Stegostoma tigrinum: one gene and its partner. The main gene of each other region encodes a partner of the protein of the gene in region 2 in a complex. Links are inferred from orthologs where the notes say so. Each region holds a gene or a part of one and is shown on either strand. Other genes may lie near its edges. The genes, in order: ccm2 and map3k3.

What was found.
Region 1: the proteins of map3k3 (region 2) and ccm2 are in contact, whole or in part, in a crystal structure (PDB 4Y5O), measured with the Homo sapiens proteins. The link is inferred for Stegostoma tigrinum from reciprocal best matches to the Homo sapiens genes MAP3K3 and CCM2. Residues at the interface, in NP_002392.2 of Homo sapiens: Asp2, Glu3, Gln4, Ala6, Leu7, Ser9, Ile10, Met11, Asn12, Asp13, Leu14, Val15, Ala16, Leu17, Glu50, Asp82, His84, Met86, Asn88, Glu89, Leu90, Ser91, Ile92, Leu93, Arg117, Leu119, Leu121, Ser122, Gln123, Asp124; in NP_113631.1 of Homo sapiens: Leu299, Tyr302, Met303, Leu306, Arg307, Ser312, Gln313, Ile315, Gln316, Gln317, Phe318, Ala319, Ala320, Leu321, Leu322, His323, Glu324, Arg326, Glu333, Ile336, Asn337, Gln340, Leu341, Leu353, Phe356, Pro358.

What each region holds. Positions count from the first base shown.
Region 1 is NC_081357.1:77,946,719-77,955,458, forward strand, and holds the start of ccm2 (cerebral cavernous malformations protein 2 homolog), read right to left. Parts: upstream 3,587-8,740; 5' UTR 3,177-3,586; coding exon 3,147-3,176; intron 1-3,146. UniProt on the Homo sapiens protein: Component of the CCM signaling pathway which is a crucial regulator of heart and vessel formation and integrity. May act through the stabilization of endothelial cell junctions. May function as a scaffold protein for MAP2K3-MAP3K3 signaling.
Region 2 is NC_081384.1:38,406,078-38,415,400, reverse strand, and holds the start of map3k3 (mitogen-activated protein kinase kinase kinase 3), read right to left. Parts: upstream 3,891-9,323; 5' UTR 3,589-3,890; intron 1-3,588. UniProt on the Homo sapiens protein: Component of a protein kinase signal transduction cascade. Mediates activation of the NF-kappa-B, AP1 and DDIT3 transcriptional regulators.

The DNA of each region.
Region 1 (8,740 bases), on a different chromosome or scaffold from region 2:
TGCTACCTGATGAAACGTGTAGACATCCTTGGCCTGGTGATAACAACATGTTAATGTCATCTGCATACTCCAGGAATAGAGTCAGTGACTGCCTCTTTCAAGATGTTGAGGATACACCTGAAACAGCAGAGTCAGAAACAATGCAACCCTTTCTTCCTGCCCAGCATATGTTGTCTTACAAATATAGAAGGGTTCACAGAAGATGCAAGTTTGGTAGATCTGCAGTTTGGGTTCTCTCAGTCAAGATACACAGTTGTCTATCCTGAGTGAGCATGGAACATTGCATCTGCAATTGCAGTTTTTGCAATGAAGACAGAGTGTAACATCATATGAGATTCCTGTTAAATGATTGTGAAGCCTTAAAATGTGACAGTATTAGCTTCCAAATGTCATACTCAATGACCTAAGGGTCAAAAGAAATGCTTCACGTCGGTGTATTTTCCATTGAACGTTTTCCCCATAATGGCATACCTACAAAGTATCATCACATACAGCAGCGCAGGGCAAAGTCCATGATGGTTAATGCAGAACTAGGAGTTACAACCACAGCTGAACTTCAGATTTCACCACCCCCTGCTTCTTATGGAGGATTTAGAGCCACCTACTAGGAACATACAATTCTGTTTGAATCTGTTGAAAGAATCATAAAAACTAGCAGACCAGCCATTACAAATTTTAAGACGCCTCTGCATGAAGAATTTAAGACAAAGTTCAAATGCATTGTGGCTTAATTAATTGGTCTATACAAAATTATCAATTGTTAGTTGGAAAAAGATTTCAAAAGGAGGTTGGTAGAATTGGGGTGTTTGAGCTATAGGGAGAGGCTGAATAGGCTGGAGCCAAAGCTGAGCAGTGACCTTATACCACGTTTAAAAGATCATGAGGGGCTTGCATAAGGAGGATAGTCATGGCCTTTTCTCCAGAGTAGGGAGTCCAAAACTAGAGGGGCACAGGTTTAAGGTGGGAGGGGAAGGATTTAAGGGGCCTAAGGGGCAACCTTTTCACATAAAGGGTGGCATGACCGTGGAACGAGGTGCCAGGGTGGAGGCAGCAGCTAGTAATGATTACAACATTTAAGAGGCATCTGGATGGATGCATGAATAGGAAAGGTTTAGAGGAATACAGGTCACATGCTGGCAAATGGAACTGGATTAATTTAGGATATTAGTTGGCATGATCAAGTTGGACTGAAGGGTCTGTTTCCATGCTGTACATCTCGATAACTGCTGTTACATCATGAACTGCAAAGCTTAAACTAACCTGCTTGGATTTTAGAATGCTGTAAGTAATGCAATTCAGCAAAGAGATAAGATTCCAAGTTTGCAGAATTGAGGCGGATATCTTTCAAAAAAAAAACTGACACAGCAAAGTTTCCAGTGAAATGTTAGAGTAGAATGACCTTGATGCACAGAACTGTAATTAAAAACATATCAATGAGTGGATAAAAAAATCTGACAAACACACAACACTGCAGTTGGGGCCAACCAGTGTTGGAAACACTTGTCAGACAGCATCAGTGGAAAGAAAAAAAACTTCTTGTTTTAAATTGATATCTTTCACAGAATTCTTGATTTTGTATCTCAAGAGCATAATAACAAAAGCATAGAAGCAATTCACTAAATAACTAACAAGTGAGAAACCCAGCATCCATCTTTGGGCACCCAAGTTACTCAATACAGAGCACAGTTTAGATCTGAACAAAAATAAATAGCATGACTTGAAAAATTAGGACATTTTTCACTGTATTATCTGAAAGTCTGACAATGGAAGAAAAAGACTGCTGACCACAGCAAAGTACAAATCAAAAAGGTTGCAAAGGTTTAGGGTAGGCGAGTGAAAATATATATTAACTAGAATGCAAAATGTTCAGTTACATAACTGGTGATTTAGAATGCTCTGGTGGCTCAGTGGTTAGCATTACTGCCTCAATGCCAGAGATTCGATTCTATTTCGGCCTTGGGCAACCATGTGGTGTTTGCACGTTCTCGGTGTCTACGGATTTTCAAACTGAGTGCTGCGGGTTCCGCGTACAGTCCAAAGATGTACAGGTTCGGCAAACTAGAAGGTTTGGCGTGGGACGCTCTTTGGAGGGTTGGTGCAGATTTGATGAGGACTGTGGGGCTTCTAGGATTCTAACAGAATTATCAGTGCTTGGAAAGCAAATACAGTGAAAGCTCTCACATGAGAACATAACCAGATCTGATGGAAAAGCTTGTTTCTATAGCGTATAGAAACTCCTAAAAACACAGAACAAAAATTGAGCATAACATACCACACTGACAGGCAAGTGCTGTGAAATAACAATTCGGATCAAAAAGTTTGCAGAGTCACTACGTTTTGGACATCTGCCTAAGCAAGTTGCACAAAACAAAAATTTCTCTCGCATGAGATTGTAGACTTGTATTATAACTTACAACGCCACCGTTATCAACTGAAATGAAACAAGAACACATTGACCACAATATTTTCCGTCAAGCTGCTATTTCAGCAGCTGTACACTAACTCTTCCCGGCAAAAAGAAAATCGGGTGTCAAATATCTGTCTCTTATTAAGTAGTGTACTGCAGACACTGGAAAGTGAAGCAGGGCGTGCTGAAAATTTGTTTACATTTCGGGCTGGGTGGGAAGACACCGTGGAGTGGCTTTCGAGTAGTTTCAACAGCAGCAGCCGCTGAAGTGCCTCCGCCTCCAGCTCCCAGCGGACATCAGAAAAAGTCACCGGTGAAAAACAGCCCAACCCAAACAGGAGTAACAAAACGCCCTTCAACGATCTCGAAGTTTAATGAACTACATCTGAAATACATTTGTTTCCAAAAAAAACTGAGGAAACGTAAATCCTTTGACAAATCTCGTCTATTTTAAGACAAGGCGGCCCCAAAATTACAAGCCATAGCAACCCCGCCCCCTCCGTTTTTGGGCCAAACAGCAAATTTCGTTGTCAGCTGGAGCTATATTTACCTTTTCTCCCTCAGCCCCGCGATGACAGGCCACTTCGGCCCCCAATCCTAAGGAAGCCCAGGCTCTAGAGCACCCCTCCGGCCGCTCAACAGACCCACACCCAATACCAGCGATATCCAGATCCGACCCTGGGGGGGATGTCTCCCCCGATCTTTCATCACCCCAAACTAAACCGCGCACAACTCTCACCTTTTTACCTTTCTTCGCATCATCCTCCATTTCTAGCTGAAGAACCAGCGGTAACTCCTTACAACCAGGGTAACGGCGGAAAAAGAACCGACTCCCGCCCACAATGACATTACGGCAGCGACATCGGACAACCACTCCAATCCCGGGCCTAGCCGCCCATTCGTTGTGTGGGCTGGACACAAACTTCCCTCAACCACACTCTCCCTACCCACCCCGGTCAGATCGCACACCGCCGAAAGCAACTTTTCAATCCTGCCGCCATCTTGGGCGTGTCTTCCCGGCGCACATTGGGTCAGCTCTGGAGGACTATCGCCTCCGCCGCAACACATCCTCCCGTCCACCAGGGGCCCCTAACCGTCGGTCCTGCTCCTAACCGCCAGGGGGCCTCCGCGGCCAACCTTCCTCCTTTTTCAGGGCGCCATGAGGCTTCCGCCGCTTCGCCTCCTCCAAACGTCACGAAGGCGCGACGCTCCTTCTTCCAGCCGCAAGGGGGCATCCGCTGCGGATAGGTCCGCCCCCGGCTTGCAGGGAGCGTGTGTTTCACGCCCGCCGTGGTTTTTCGGTCCGAAACGTCAGCTTTTGTGCTCCTGAGATGCTGCTTGGCCTGCTGTGTTCATCTAGCTTCACACTTTGTTATCGTGGTTTTTCTACAGGCCGGCAGTGGCCAAACGTCTTCAGGGCGCCATCTTCAGGAAGACAATGGTACAATTTAGACTTGTCTCCCTATGCCATGATGAAAAGAAGCGAACGTTCCCACTCAGTCTCAGTTACTATTTAGATTCTACTTCTAGCTTCAAAACAACCCAGATCTGAATGCAAATTGTGTATCTTTTTCACAAAACTAAACGTTGTTTCATTTGTATTGGCGAAAAGGGATAGGTCTCAAAAGAAAGGCCTTAAAAGGAGGAAATAAAAATATCAACAAAATACTGTGCATGCTGGAGATCAGCAGAGCTTGCGGCACATGTAAAGAGGGAAACTGAGTCCATGTTTGAATCCAGTAAGATTTTGCGTGAAGTTCATCTAGCACTTTTTGCAGTTACTTCAGGAGGAAAAATAAAGTGATGGTTGGCGAGCAAATGTTGAACTTTTCCATTTTACGTGCAATCTAGTTAATCGTAAGCATTTTGTATCAAATTCTAGATTTTTTTAAGAATAAAAGACCAATAATACAAATAACTGACATTTGAATTTTTCCAACTGATATCCACTTCTGTAAACTTTATCTGTTTTGACTTATTTCAGAAAGTTGCAGGAATTTATGCTTCCAAAATATATAGATTGATAAGGAAGGAAGTCCATCCCCCCAGACCTCCCACTGACTGAGGACGAACGGTCAGTCCTTAGTAAGGGGCTCACCTTTGTCCCCCGACAACCACACATCAACGAATACCAGTCACGTTTGGACATAGAGCAGTTTTTCCGCCGTCTTCGCCTCCATGCCTACTTCTTCAACCGGGAACCTAACCCTCCTTCCACTGACCCCTTCACCCGCTTCCAACACAAGTCCTCCTCCTGGACACCACCCCCAGGCCTCCTACCCTCCCTCGACCTCTTCATCTCCAACTGCCGTCGAGACATTAACCACCTCAACCTCTCCACCCCTCTCACCCACTCCAACCTCTCCCCTGCAGAACAGGCAGCCCTCCGCTCCCTCCGCTCCAACCCCAACCTCACCATCAAACCCGCAGACAAGGGTGGCGCAGTGGTAGTATGGCGCACTGACCTCTACATCGCCGAGGCCAGACGCCAACTCTCCGACACCAACTCCTACCGCCCCCTCGATCATAACCCCACACCCGAGCACCAAACCATCATCTCCAACACCATTCACCTCATCACCTCAGGGGACCTCCCACCCACAGCCTCCAACCTCATTGTTCCCCAACCCCGCACGGCCCGTTTCTATCTCCTTCCCAAAATCCACAAACCTGCCTTCCCTGGTCGACCCATCGTCTCAGCCTGCTCCTGCCCCACCGAACTCATCTCCACCTATCTGGACTCCATTTTCTCCCCTTTGGTCCAGGAACTCCCCACCTACGTCCGTGACACCACCCACGCCCTCCACCTCCTCCAGGACTTCCAATTCCCTGGCCCCCAACACCTCATATTCACCATGGACGTCCAGTCCCTATACACCTGCATTCCGCATGCAGATGGCCTCAAGTCCCTCCGCTTCTTCCTGTCCCGCAGGCCCAACCAGTCCCCCTCCACCGACACTCTCGTCCGCCTAGCTGAACTCGTCCTCACCCTCAACAACTCTTTTGACTCCTCCCACTTCCTACAGACTAAGGGGGTGGCCATGGGCCCCAGCTATGCCTGTCTCTTCGTAGGTTACGTGGAACAGTCCCTCTTCCGCACCTACACAGGCCCCAAACCGCACCTCTTCCTCCGTTACATTGATGACTGTATCGGCGCCGCCTCTTGCTCCCCAGAGGAGCTCGAACAGTTCATCCACTTCACCAACACCTTCCACCCCAACCTTCAGTTCACCTGGGCCATCTCCAGCACATCCCTCACCTTCCTGGACCTCTCAGTCTCCATCTCAGGCAACCAGCTTGTAACTGATGTCCATTTCAAGCCCACCGACTCCCACAGCTACCTAGAATACACCTCCTCCCACCCACCCTCCTGCAAAAATTCCATCCCCTATTCCCAATTCCTCTGCCTCCGCCGCATCTGCTCCCACGATAAGACATTCCACTCCCGCACATCCCAGATGTCCAAGTTCTTCAAGGACCGCAACTTTCCCCCCACAGTGATCGAGAACGCCCTTGACCGCGTCTCCCGTATTTCCCGCAACACATCCCTCACACCCCGCCCCCGCCACAACCGCCCTAAGAGGATCCCTCTCGTTCTCACGCATCACCCTACCAACCTCCGGATACAACGCATCATCCTCCGACACTTTCGCCATTTACAATCCGACCCCACCACCCAAGACATTTTTCCATCCCCACCCCTGTCTGCTTTCCGGAGGGACCACTCTCTCCGTGACTCCCTTGTTCGCTCCACACTGCCCTCCAACCCCACCACACCCGGCACCTTCCCCTGCAACCGCAGGAAATGCTACACTTGCCCCCACACCTCCTCCCTCACCCCTATCCCAGGCCCCAAGATGACATTCCACATTAAGCAGAGGTTCACCTGCACATCTGCCAATGTGGTATACTGCATCCACTGTACCCGGTGCGGCTTCCTCTACATTGGGGAAACCAAGCGGAGGCTTGGAGACTGCTTTGCAGAACACCTCCGCTCAGTTCGCAACAAACAACTGCACCTCCCAGTCGCAAACCATTTCCACTCCCCCTCCCATTCTCTAGATGCCATGTCCAATATGGGCCTCCTGCACTGCCACAATGATGCCACCCGAAGGTTGCAGGAACAGCAACTCATATTCCGCCTGGGAACCCTGCAGCCTAATGGTATCAATGTGGACTTCACCAGTTTCAAAATCTCCCCTTCCCCTACTGCATCCCTAAACCAGCCCAGTTCGTCCCCTCCCCCCACTGCACCACACAACCAGCCCAGCTCTTCCACCCCCACCCACTGCATCCCAAAACCAGTCCAACCTGTCTCTGCCTCCCTAACCGGTTCTTCCTCTCACCCATCCCTTCCTCCCACCCCAAGCCGCACCCCCGTCTACCTACTAACCTCATCCCACCTCCTTGACCTGTCCGTCTTCCCTGGACTGACCTATCCCCTCCCTACCTCCCCACCTATACTCTCTCCACCTATCTTCTTTACTCTCCATCTTCGGTCCGCCTCCCCTTCTCTCCCTATTTATTCCAGTTCCCTCTCCCCATCCCCCTCTCTGATGAAGGGTCTAGGCCAGAAACGTCAGCTTTTGTGCTCCTGAGATGCTGCTTGGCCTGCTGTGTTCATCCAGCCTCACATTTTATTATCTTGGAATTCTCCAGCATCTGCAGTTCCCATTATCTCAGATTGATAAGGAAAGCAGATTTACTTCCTTAAAATCACTATTATAGAGCAACTAGGTTCCATATTTACTTTACATCAAGAAGTATGATCACACAACTGATTTTTTTTTAAATTTAGCCTATTTTTTCTTATTAAACCTGCTTGGAGACATTATTGCATACTTCTAGAGCCGATAGGTCTTGAACCCAAGCCTCTCAATCCTCTATCACACAACTAAAAGGATTTTTCTGCTACCAAATCACCTCTACAAATTTTGCATATTAACCACCAGCAATATGTCACCAATGTTTCCAGTTGTTCAGTTTATGAGCTGAGCCCATTAAGAGCAATGCAAAAATAAGGTGAACTTGCAACTTATATTTCTAATCAACCCATTCAGAGATGTTGTTATACACCCTTGGAGTAGGTGGGACTTGAACCCAGACCTCTGGCAGAGACGCTCCCACTGTGCCACAAGAAGGCCGTAATAAGGAACATCGAGAGTAAATGAGGCAACAGCTCTCCACTGGGACACCAGTAATTCACATAAACATTTCTGCTCGTTTCAAACCAGCACCCTTTTCACATGTAAAGCAAATGTGACACCCACTACACCACAGAAACAGTACACAAGGCTAACTTTTAACTCCAAATTTATTAATTCTATGGTGTCATGGTGTGATCTAAACACAAATGCCCAGAACCTGGCCATTATGATTACCAGCCCAGAAGCATTAACCGCTGCATTATCTCCTCCACAGTATGACAAAAGAAATGACTTCCTCCGTAGTTTGGATAGTTCTTGATTATTCAACAGGCATTTTTGCACTTTAATAATTAACAAAATAAATTATTCAAAGGCAATTCTGCAAACATACAAATTATTTGTGTGTGTGTGTCTGAATTTTGTCCCACCATTTTTGCATCACTTGAAATTAGTTTTTAACCAGCCACAAAACATTTACAGTCAAATTAGCATTTTATTACAACAACATTTACAGTATTACTGGTGTTTTTCAACAAAGTCTTTAACAGAATGAAACTCTTCACTTAGGAAACACTTGGAAAGTACATTGAACTGACAATATGCCAAAGCAAACAAAGGAAAATAAATACAAGTTTTGTGGAGACTGACCTTATAATCTGTTTATATTCATAGAATATGCAAGTCTTACTGAGAGATAATAGGAACTGCAGATGCTGGAGAATCTGAGATAGCAAGATGTGGAGCTGGATGAACACAGCTGCTTGGCCTGCTGTGTTCATCCAGCTCCACACCTTGTTATCTAAGTCTTATTGAGAACTGTTTTCTCTTGAGTTGAAAAGTTAGGCTAGCATCTGATGGACTCTGTTATATGAGGAATAAATATATTATTTACTTGAAATCTGCCTGTTGTAATTTCTCCAAGATCCTTTAAAGAAAATAACTTCCTCTGCCTCTGCTGTGTCTGCTCCCAAGATGGGGTGTTCCACTCCCGAACCTCCCGGATGGCCTCTTATTTCAAGGACCACAACATACCCTTGTCAGTGGCCGAAAATGCCCTCGACTGCATTTCTTGCATTTCCCGCACCTCTTCCCGCACATCCCCTCCCCACAACAAAAACAAAGACAGAAATTCCCCTTCTATTCACGTGTCACCCCACTAACCTCTGGATTCAACGTACCATTCTCC
Region 2 (9,323 bases):
AGCTGATATTCCACTGCAGTCATAAGGGAGTGTTATTGTGAGATGACATTAAATACAGGCCCCTTTCTGAACATCAACATTGATAAGTTTTACACCTTTAAAATAAATTCTGCTTTTTCATTCTTACGACTAAACTAGATAACTCACATTTGCCTGCAATATTCAACTTGTTGCACACTCATTCAACCAGCCTTGCCCTTTCCAGCCTTTGACACCATCAGTGTACAAATTCACCTAGTAAACTTGGAATCTACATTAACCTCTATCAATTCATGTATTGACTATTAACGTAGACCAGAAAAATGGAGGTCCCAGCACTGATCTTTCAGTACATCACTAGTCTAAGCCTGCCAACTTGAAAATGCCCTGTTTATGCATACTGTCTGCTTCCTATCCATTAAACAATCTTATATTCATGCTAATATTATCCCCAACTTATTGAGACTTTGTCCAGCATATTAACCTTTTGTGTTATACTTTATTGAATATATTTTAGAAAGTGCATGTCAGTACCAAAGTCCAGCTGTATATTTTTCTCTCTACCCACAGAGTACAGTGAAAAGACAAAAAATGGCAAACTCAATGTATTTTAAATAAATCATTTTAATACTTAATACACTGAAACATGGATTATAAATTCAGGGATTAAGTACACTGAATTTGCCTCACCAAGAATGTTATCAATTTGTATTGATGACTAGGAAAAATTACTCACCTCAATAGATTAATCACCCTTAGGCCAGGTTAGAAAATTGAAAGTTAATGATTAGTTTTCCTATTTAATCCAGCATGTAATCCAAATTCCTGTAAAATCCAAAATCAAGCGTAGTCTTGAACTTGGTCTAAAGGGTGCTCGATTTTAAACGCCAGGCCCTTACATTTTATATTAAATTCCCTTTATTTACTCCACTAGTTACATTTTCAACTTGGTTTTCACCCTTGTAAAACCATGATGGCTTTGTCTGATTACACCATGCTTTCTGAAATGCATTCCGCAACAGATTCCAACACTTTCCAGATAGCTGGCTTAAGGTGAATCGACCTACAATTTTTTGAACTCTCTGTCCCTCCTTTCTCAAATAGGAGTAATATATTTGTTAACTTTCAAACTGCTGGGAGCAGCTCTTGTGGTGCCATGGTAGTGTCCCTGCATCAGGGCCAAAAGGTTCAGGTTTGACGTCCCACCTGTTCCAAAGGTACATCATAACATGTCCAAATCATCTGACTTAAAACACTTTCTCCTATCTGTTGGGACCATTTCCACATTCTACAGACTTTTGGAAAATCATAGCTGGTGGATCTCTGTAGCCAAATAATTTTGACCTCTAAATGTAGTCTGATACGTAACTTGCCTTCCAATGTGAAGACAGACAAAATACTTATTCAAATGGCTCTACCATTTCCTCATTCCCCCTAACGATTTCTCCTGTCTCTACTTCTGAAAGACTAGCACTTGGTTTAGCTTCTCTCTTCCTTTTTAAATGCTTGTAAAACTTCCAGTAATCTGACTTATATCCATGGTTATTATTCACTTCATACTCTGTTTTCTTCCTTTGTTTTTATTAACTTTTTGATTGAATAGTTGTCTGAATAAATTAACTCATTCTGCAGTAGCACTATGTTGCTCAATTAGTGTAATGTTGTACGTGGCCCTGGGTCTAACATATCACAATACATTCAGCATATCTCCATGATTACATCTATCCAATTTTGCATCAACTCTGATCAGTTACATCAGGGCAAAACACTGCTTGTCAGTGTGCATACCTATGTTGGATTTTTTTTTTGTATATGCTACATCATTGGAGGATAGTTACATGAGCATATCCCATAGGGAATTCTCTATATTTAAAATAGTCTGTAAAATTCGGTATTGCTTCTGTAAAGTCATATCAGAATAGCTTGGTTCATCTTCATTCTCTTCAATACTGATCACATCACTAGAAGTGTCACAGTTTTGCAAATGTGCATTTAAGATGTCTTGGATATCTTAAATAAGCTGTTTGTCTGTGTTACAGCATTATGCATGTTCTGCACTGCTCTGTGAATCTTCATTTGTATACAGTAATAAACCAAGGTATACAAAATGAATTCTAATATATTACCTCCACATTGCGTTAAAATATTCAGGAACATTTTGCATCCATTCTATAAACCTATTTGACTATATTTGCAATGGTTCTGTACTCAAATATCTTATTGTGGGAAGCAGCACTGGTGAATGGCATATCTTGTTATATCGCAAGGTAATTCTTTATGGTCAATTTACTATTTTAGGGAATTTTTGCACTGTCTCAGTATATCTTCATCAGCTGCATGGCTATAATACACTGGCACCACAAGCCTGCATTGTTATATTCTACAATCATATAACTCTGAATACCTATATAACATAGCTGACATATTGGGATTACCATTGACCAGAGACTGAACTGGACAAGCTATATAAACGCAGTTGCTACAACAGGAGGTCAGCAGCTGAGAATTCTACTGTGATTAACTCACGTCCCAAAGCCAGTCCTGTATCTATAAGGCACAAGTCAAAAATATGATGGAATGCACTTCATTTGCTTGGATCAATGCAGCTCCCAGAAAAAAAATGCCTTGTTAGCATCAAGGACAAAGCAGTCCACTTGATTGGCACCACATGCAACAGTATGGCAGCAATCGCTAACCAGCTACAATGCAGCAAATCACCATGCCCCGAGTACAGTACATTCCTACTGTATGTCCTAATCTACCAACTTCTATCACCTGGAAGGACAAAGCCATCAGGTGCATGAAACACCACAGACTACAAGTTCACCTCCAAGGTGTACACCTCTCCCACTTGAGACTAAACTGCTTAACTCATCATTGTCACTGAGTTAAAATCCTGAAACCCCAATCCTAACAGCACTAAGGGCAACCTACTTGCATATCAATATGCCCCACCACTCCATTGATTGCAGCAGTTCAAGACAGCTAACTTTCTCAAGGTTGATGCAGCAGCTGAGCAATAAATTGCCCACATTCCGACAGCAAACGTAAAAAGAAACTAAAGGAACGTTTACTGCAGCGCACAGTTCTAGCATCGTATGTTTATTTAATAAACCTGCGTTAATCTCACGTAGTCTACCTAATCTAATCTTATGTAGTATCTCATTATATTCAACACTACAAAGGAGTGCATTCTGTGCAATCTCTCCTCAAGTGCACTAATGCATTCCCAAGTATTCTGCAAATGTTCGTTGGCACATGTGTTTTGTCTTATGTTTTGTATAAGTGGATCGGTATCATATTTAAAACCAGCTCTGCCAACTTACAACGTTATATTCTAAAGTCGATCTGAATTGAACAACCCATTTCAACTTATATTTGGATATTCTGCATACCCCAAGGTATTTTGTACTAACTTAATGCATTTGAAGCTACAAACTGCATAACCCTGACAGACCGTACGACAACACTGCAAACTGCGTTTTTATGTTCCCAGTAACTCAGACAGCCCCAAACCTGAATTATGCAGAACCATCTGCAAGTCCCAGGATATTCGGCGCTAGCTCAGAGTACGCACAGCCCGGTATATCGTGCACTCTCTCAGTGTACCTGCATTTGTATCGTGTGGTCGGTTTGCTACCGGTTTTGGGAACTTCCCGGTGGTCTTTGGCCTTGCCTCTTTGGGCCGCCTACTCCACAGACTCCAGTTTGATTCGGGGCTCTGGGCCCCGCGCCGCCCTCGATCGCTGTCTGCCTGCACAATTTAGCCCCGGCGCCGCGCAGATACCACCGTCTCCATGGCGGTTGCGAATCGGACGGGCCCCAGCCCCCAGACGTACACTAACGGACTGCAGTGGGCCAGACAGCGAACGGCTCTTCCGGAGCAACAACCAAAAAAACTCCGGCCTCCAGCCGCCGCGCACGCGCAGAGTGCCGGAAGCCGGCGGCCGTGACTAGATGCGCCTGCGTAGAGCACCGGGCCCGGCACCGCATGCGCAGGGCTAGGCCGAGGGCGGGGCAGGCAGGCGCATGCGCAACGCGGGAAGGCGCGGACGTGAAGTGGCTTCACGGCGGAGTTTATGAGGTTTAGTTGGTGAAGCGTGAGGAATGGCTGAAGTAAAACGGGGCGAGGTCGGAGTGGTTTAAGGCGGAGAAAAGAGGGGCTGAGAGGTTTAAGAGAGTGTGCCGGTGGGAGATGAGGTGAGATTGGTGAGAAGAAAGGGTGTGAGGGAGAGTGAAGGCTGCTCAGGAGCATTAAGTGGGAAGAGGTTAGCCAGTTGAATATACAGCCCACGGAAACAGCCTTATTTTCCGAAAAAGAGTTCCGACCCGAAACGTCAACTTTGCTGTTCCTCTAGCTGCTGCCTGGCTTGCTGTGTTCTTCCAGCCTCCTGTTTGTCTATATTTAATAGGTGTTGATGAGACAATGCTGAAAGGTTTCGGATAGAACAGTGTGTCGAAAGTTTCAGTAGAACGGTTTTTGGGACTGTCCGGCTCTTCGGGTCAGCTGAGTCAATAGGGAAATTATAATACCTAATACTGCCTTTCGTAACACCCTTTCTGGGGGCAGAAGCACATTCACTAGATTAACTGAATTATATTACTTACAGTATCAAGCTGTTGTAGCTTAATAGCTACAACGGAATCTACATGTCAGTTAACATGTCAACATTGTGAACAATAGTAAGCTACTGTATTTGAGTGTAGTCCATGGAATTATATTTAAAGGGCCCACTTGAATCAAAGGGGTTGACACCCCAGTGACAAAGTCAGCCTAAAGAGCAGGAACCTTGGAAGAGAGAGCAACAGCCTCAACCTCAGTTCAGCCACTGTAACCAGGGTAGTAGATGTTGCCTGGCCTGCTGTGTTCCTCCAGCTCCACACTGTGTTATCTCTGACTCCAGCATCAGCAGTTCTAACTATCGCTCACAGAAACTGCTGTTTTCTCCACACTGCTTTATTGGGAGCTCTGTTGTAACCATGCTTTGGGTTGGCTGGGCATTTAGTGTCAAGAGGTCGCACTGTCTTGTTAGACTGCTGCTGCTGCTGTTGTGTCCCATGTATCTTTAGCTTGAATGATGCTCACTCACTCTCAGTAATTCTGAAAATTCTTCATTTACATGGGTACATGCTTATAATGGAGAAATGCAGCTGTCTAATGTAGTGTTTCTCTTTTGCCACTCTTCAAGTCTCAATCATTTCTCTGCTTTGCTTATGTCAGAGTAGCATGGTCATTTACACCATCATTTAATTTCTGTGCTGCAAAAATTCTGATTTGATATTAAGCTTTTATTACATTGTATATGTGCCCCTCCTAAAACCATGCTTCTCTGTCTGCTTCCATAATCCCTTTTGCTTCCTAGTGCTTGTTGTGGTCAAGATTGTTATGAAGTATGTTAGGATCATTAAAGTAGACTGGAATCAGTATGAAGCAAACCAGAAACAGTGTGAAAGACATCAAGATCACCAAAACACACAGCCACATGAGATGATAGATGTTGATGCAAAGAACAAGGGTAAGTTCAAATATTCAAGGGAAACATGCTTCTGAAAGAATGTTTGTTTGACAAATTACCTTAAGACTGATTACTAAATTACGGCTGACAACATGGAAGGTTGGGATTGAGGACAGAAAGCCAGTCATGGTGGATAAGAATTTTTTTGGACTGGAGGGTGGTAGATCGTCATATCTTCCAAGTGTCAGTGCTTTGTTGTTTTTTGTGTTGTTTTTGCAATTGATAAATGATTTGGGTCTTGGAATGCTGAGTCAAATTTCAAAATTTATTGATGATACCAAATTTAGAGTGGCAAATCTTAAGATAATTTAAATGGCCTGCAATAGGACATTTGACGGACAATCAGAATGGTCACCAAAGTGGCAGGTTGAATTTTAGACAGCAAAGTTGTGTTGAGCCTTGATAAAGCTCTGATTGGGTCCTAACAGGAATATTGATCTAACTATAGTTACCATGCTTTAGCAAAAATGTTCCTTGAGCAGATGCAGAGGAAATTTACCAGAATGATACTGTGGAATGATGGCTGTAGCTCCAAGTTTAGTTTGGAACAGCTGGAGTTGTTCTCCTTGGAGCAAAAGAGACCAGGTAGATTTGAGGTGTACAAGACTTTAGACAAGGTTGAGGAGGGAAAGCACCAATTAACTGATAGTACAAGGAATAGGAGACATGGGTTTAGGATTTTGGGTAAGAGACGCAGGGGGACTGTGATGAAAAACATTTTGTATTAATTTTATGCAGTGAGTGTTAGTAACCTGGATCTGGCCTCTTATGAGTGTGACGTAAATAATGATTCTGTGACGAAATTGGATAAGATTTAGACAAATCAACTTGCAAGACTGTGGAAATTGAATAGCGGAGTACAAATGACAGGATTGCTCTGGCTGGAACCAACAAAGACAATAATCATTTTAAAAACATTTGCGTTCCCTGAGTCCAATTTAAAAGCTCACATGACAAGTTTTGCAACTTCAACTGCAACAAGTAAACTAAAACCAACACTGATTAAACACTGTTTCTATAGGTAACTGCAGAAGAGAACTTCCCCTTTTACTTTCACATGAACAAAGTTCTCACTCCATGGTATTATTTTATTCTGTCCCTTAAGTAGGCATTTAATTCACCTGGAACCAGTCTAAAGAGATTTTTCATTATTCAGGGTTTACTTTCATTTTTTTTCCTGCCCCAGTCAAGTAACATTTAACCTCAGAACTATCTTTAATGCTCAGGATTTTTCTGGAGATTTTGTCTGTGATTGAAGGCAGATGAATCTTCTAGCCTCATTGTAAGTCCTCAAAGATTTGGCCTTTTCAGCAAGCTCTCACCTGCATCTCTGTGTAATGTATAATAAGAACCTGTTACCTGTCTGTTCTCTCTATGGTCCTGACAAGCCAACCATTCTGTGAAATTCAGGTGCAACTTTTAGGAGAACCTTATAATCCAATCTTACAATGGCTTCCAGTACATTTTATTCCTCTCAATTCCTCTCATTTCCATAGCAATGTAAATCAATGGGCCTATTTATCAAGGTAAACATGTTGATTTTATACCCTTGAGATATAACAACTTATTCTGTTATGAAACTAAGTAGACAATAGATAAAGTATAACCATTTTCAAAATCAGACACTCTTAATTCTTCTTGGGAATTTGGGACTAATAGTATATCCATTGTCAGCAAATATTCTTCTACCATTGTTTGCAAGTGTGAGCATCTTGTGTCTTCACAGAGAAACACCTGAATGTCTTTAACAGTCAAGCCAATGACTTTTGCTGGCAGCAGGATCCAAAGCAGATCATGTCAGTTCCTTTTTTACCTCCGTTTTACTCTAATCAACACAGTCCAAATAGGCGTAACATTCTTATAAAAACCACTCATTTGTAACAGTGTAATGAGTAGAATGGCCTCCTTCCATGCTGTAAATTACTCTGCAACAAGGTGGTCGAGAAAAATATAGATGAGAAAGGTAGCACTGTTGATTAAGGATAATGTTTTACAGTATTAGAATGAGACAATATCCCAGAATGTTCAAGTACAGAATCTATTTGGGTGGAGCGAAAACACAATATAGGTACCCTTTCATTGCCCAGTGTATTCCATTCACCACAAGCTGATGGGTAGAATTTACAGGAATAAATTTGCAAGGAAATTACAGAGGTGCACATAAGTTTTGGAGTAGTACCTTTTATTACAGTACATCTTAAAATAATTTAAATAATTAAATAATCAGAGATGAGCAGGAGTTTCAAGAGTGTATTCAGGACAATATTGTAAAACAGAATATTTTCATTCCAGTGAGAAAGTTGCTGCATTTAATTCTTGTGAATGAAGTCGACCAATGGATCAAGTGTCGGTAAGAGAACATATATGGAACAACGGTTATTAGGTTTAGGTTGGTTATAGATATGTAGGAATTACGAGCAGGAGTAAACCATTTGGCCCATGAAGCTGCACTGCCATGTTTTAAGATCATAGTTTATCATCCAACTCATCAGTTTGTTCCTGCTTTTCCCACATAACCTTTGATCCCCAAAAACTGGTTCCAACTCCTTCTTGAAATCACATCTTTCGATCTTTACTGTTTTCATTGCAGAAAATCCCACAGTTTCACCATTGCCTGAGTGAGGAAATTTCTTCTCATCTCAGTCTTAAATGATCTATCTCATATCCTGGTTCCAATGACCTGCTATCACAAGACCATTCCTACATTTATCCTGTCTAGTACGTTTAGAATTTTATAGGTTGCAATGAGATGCTTTCTCATTCTCCTGAATTCCAGTAAATTAAATCCTAACTGATTCAACCGTTCCTCATATGTCGGCCCTGCTATCCCAAGGATCAGTCTGGTAATGGAGCAGAGCAGGAATGGCTGTTGGACTGGGGACCGGTGCGGATGGTCAGTGGTTTGTGAGCCCGAAAAAACCATATCTGAAAGACCCCTGCACCGATCTACTACATTATAATGTTTACCTATAACCTGTCTGTAATGTTCATCCTTTTAACTTTATTTCTTAGTTTCTAACTTATACATTGAATCACTATGTATTGTAACTTTTTTTATTTCTCTATTTTGTATCTCAGATTTGTACCTTGGTACCTTATAGTTTAGATGGTGCCATCATGGGTGACATTTTAAATTTTCAGTATACTCCTGTACTTGAGTACACATGACAATAAACCTAATTCTAATTCTAATTCTAAACCTTTTACTGCAATTCCTTTATAGCAAGAACACCCTTCCTCAGGTGCGGAGACCAAAACTGTGTACAGTATTGCAGGCATGGTTTCACTAAGGTTCTTTATATATTAAACAAGACATCCCTGCTCCTGTAATCAAAAGTTCTGGCTATGAAGTCTAATATACTATTTCGCTTCTTTACTGCATCCCCAAGGACTCGTGCAACTTGTTTGGCAACTATTCCTTGCTCATGACACAATACCCAACCTAAGATTGTGTTTTCTAGTTGGTTCCTCAATGTTTTGGTCCATAAAACCAATTTGCGCGCACTCAACTAACTCCTCCTCTACAAGATTGTTACTAATTTGATTTGCCTAATCTGTATGTAGATGAAAATCACCCACAGATGTTCCTTTACTTCAGGCGGCTCTACAGTTTCCTGTTTAATGCTATTTCAACATAACTTTACAGTTTGTGAGTCTATATACAGCTCCTAATGTTTTTTTGCCCCTTGATGTTTTCCAGCTCTGCAGATACAGATTCCACACCTTTAGAACTAATATCCTTCCTCACTGTTGCATTAATTTCCTCTTTGCCTTTTCCTTTTTGTCTCTCCTCATATTCAGAAGCATATTCTCATATGCTTCTGGATA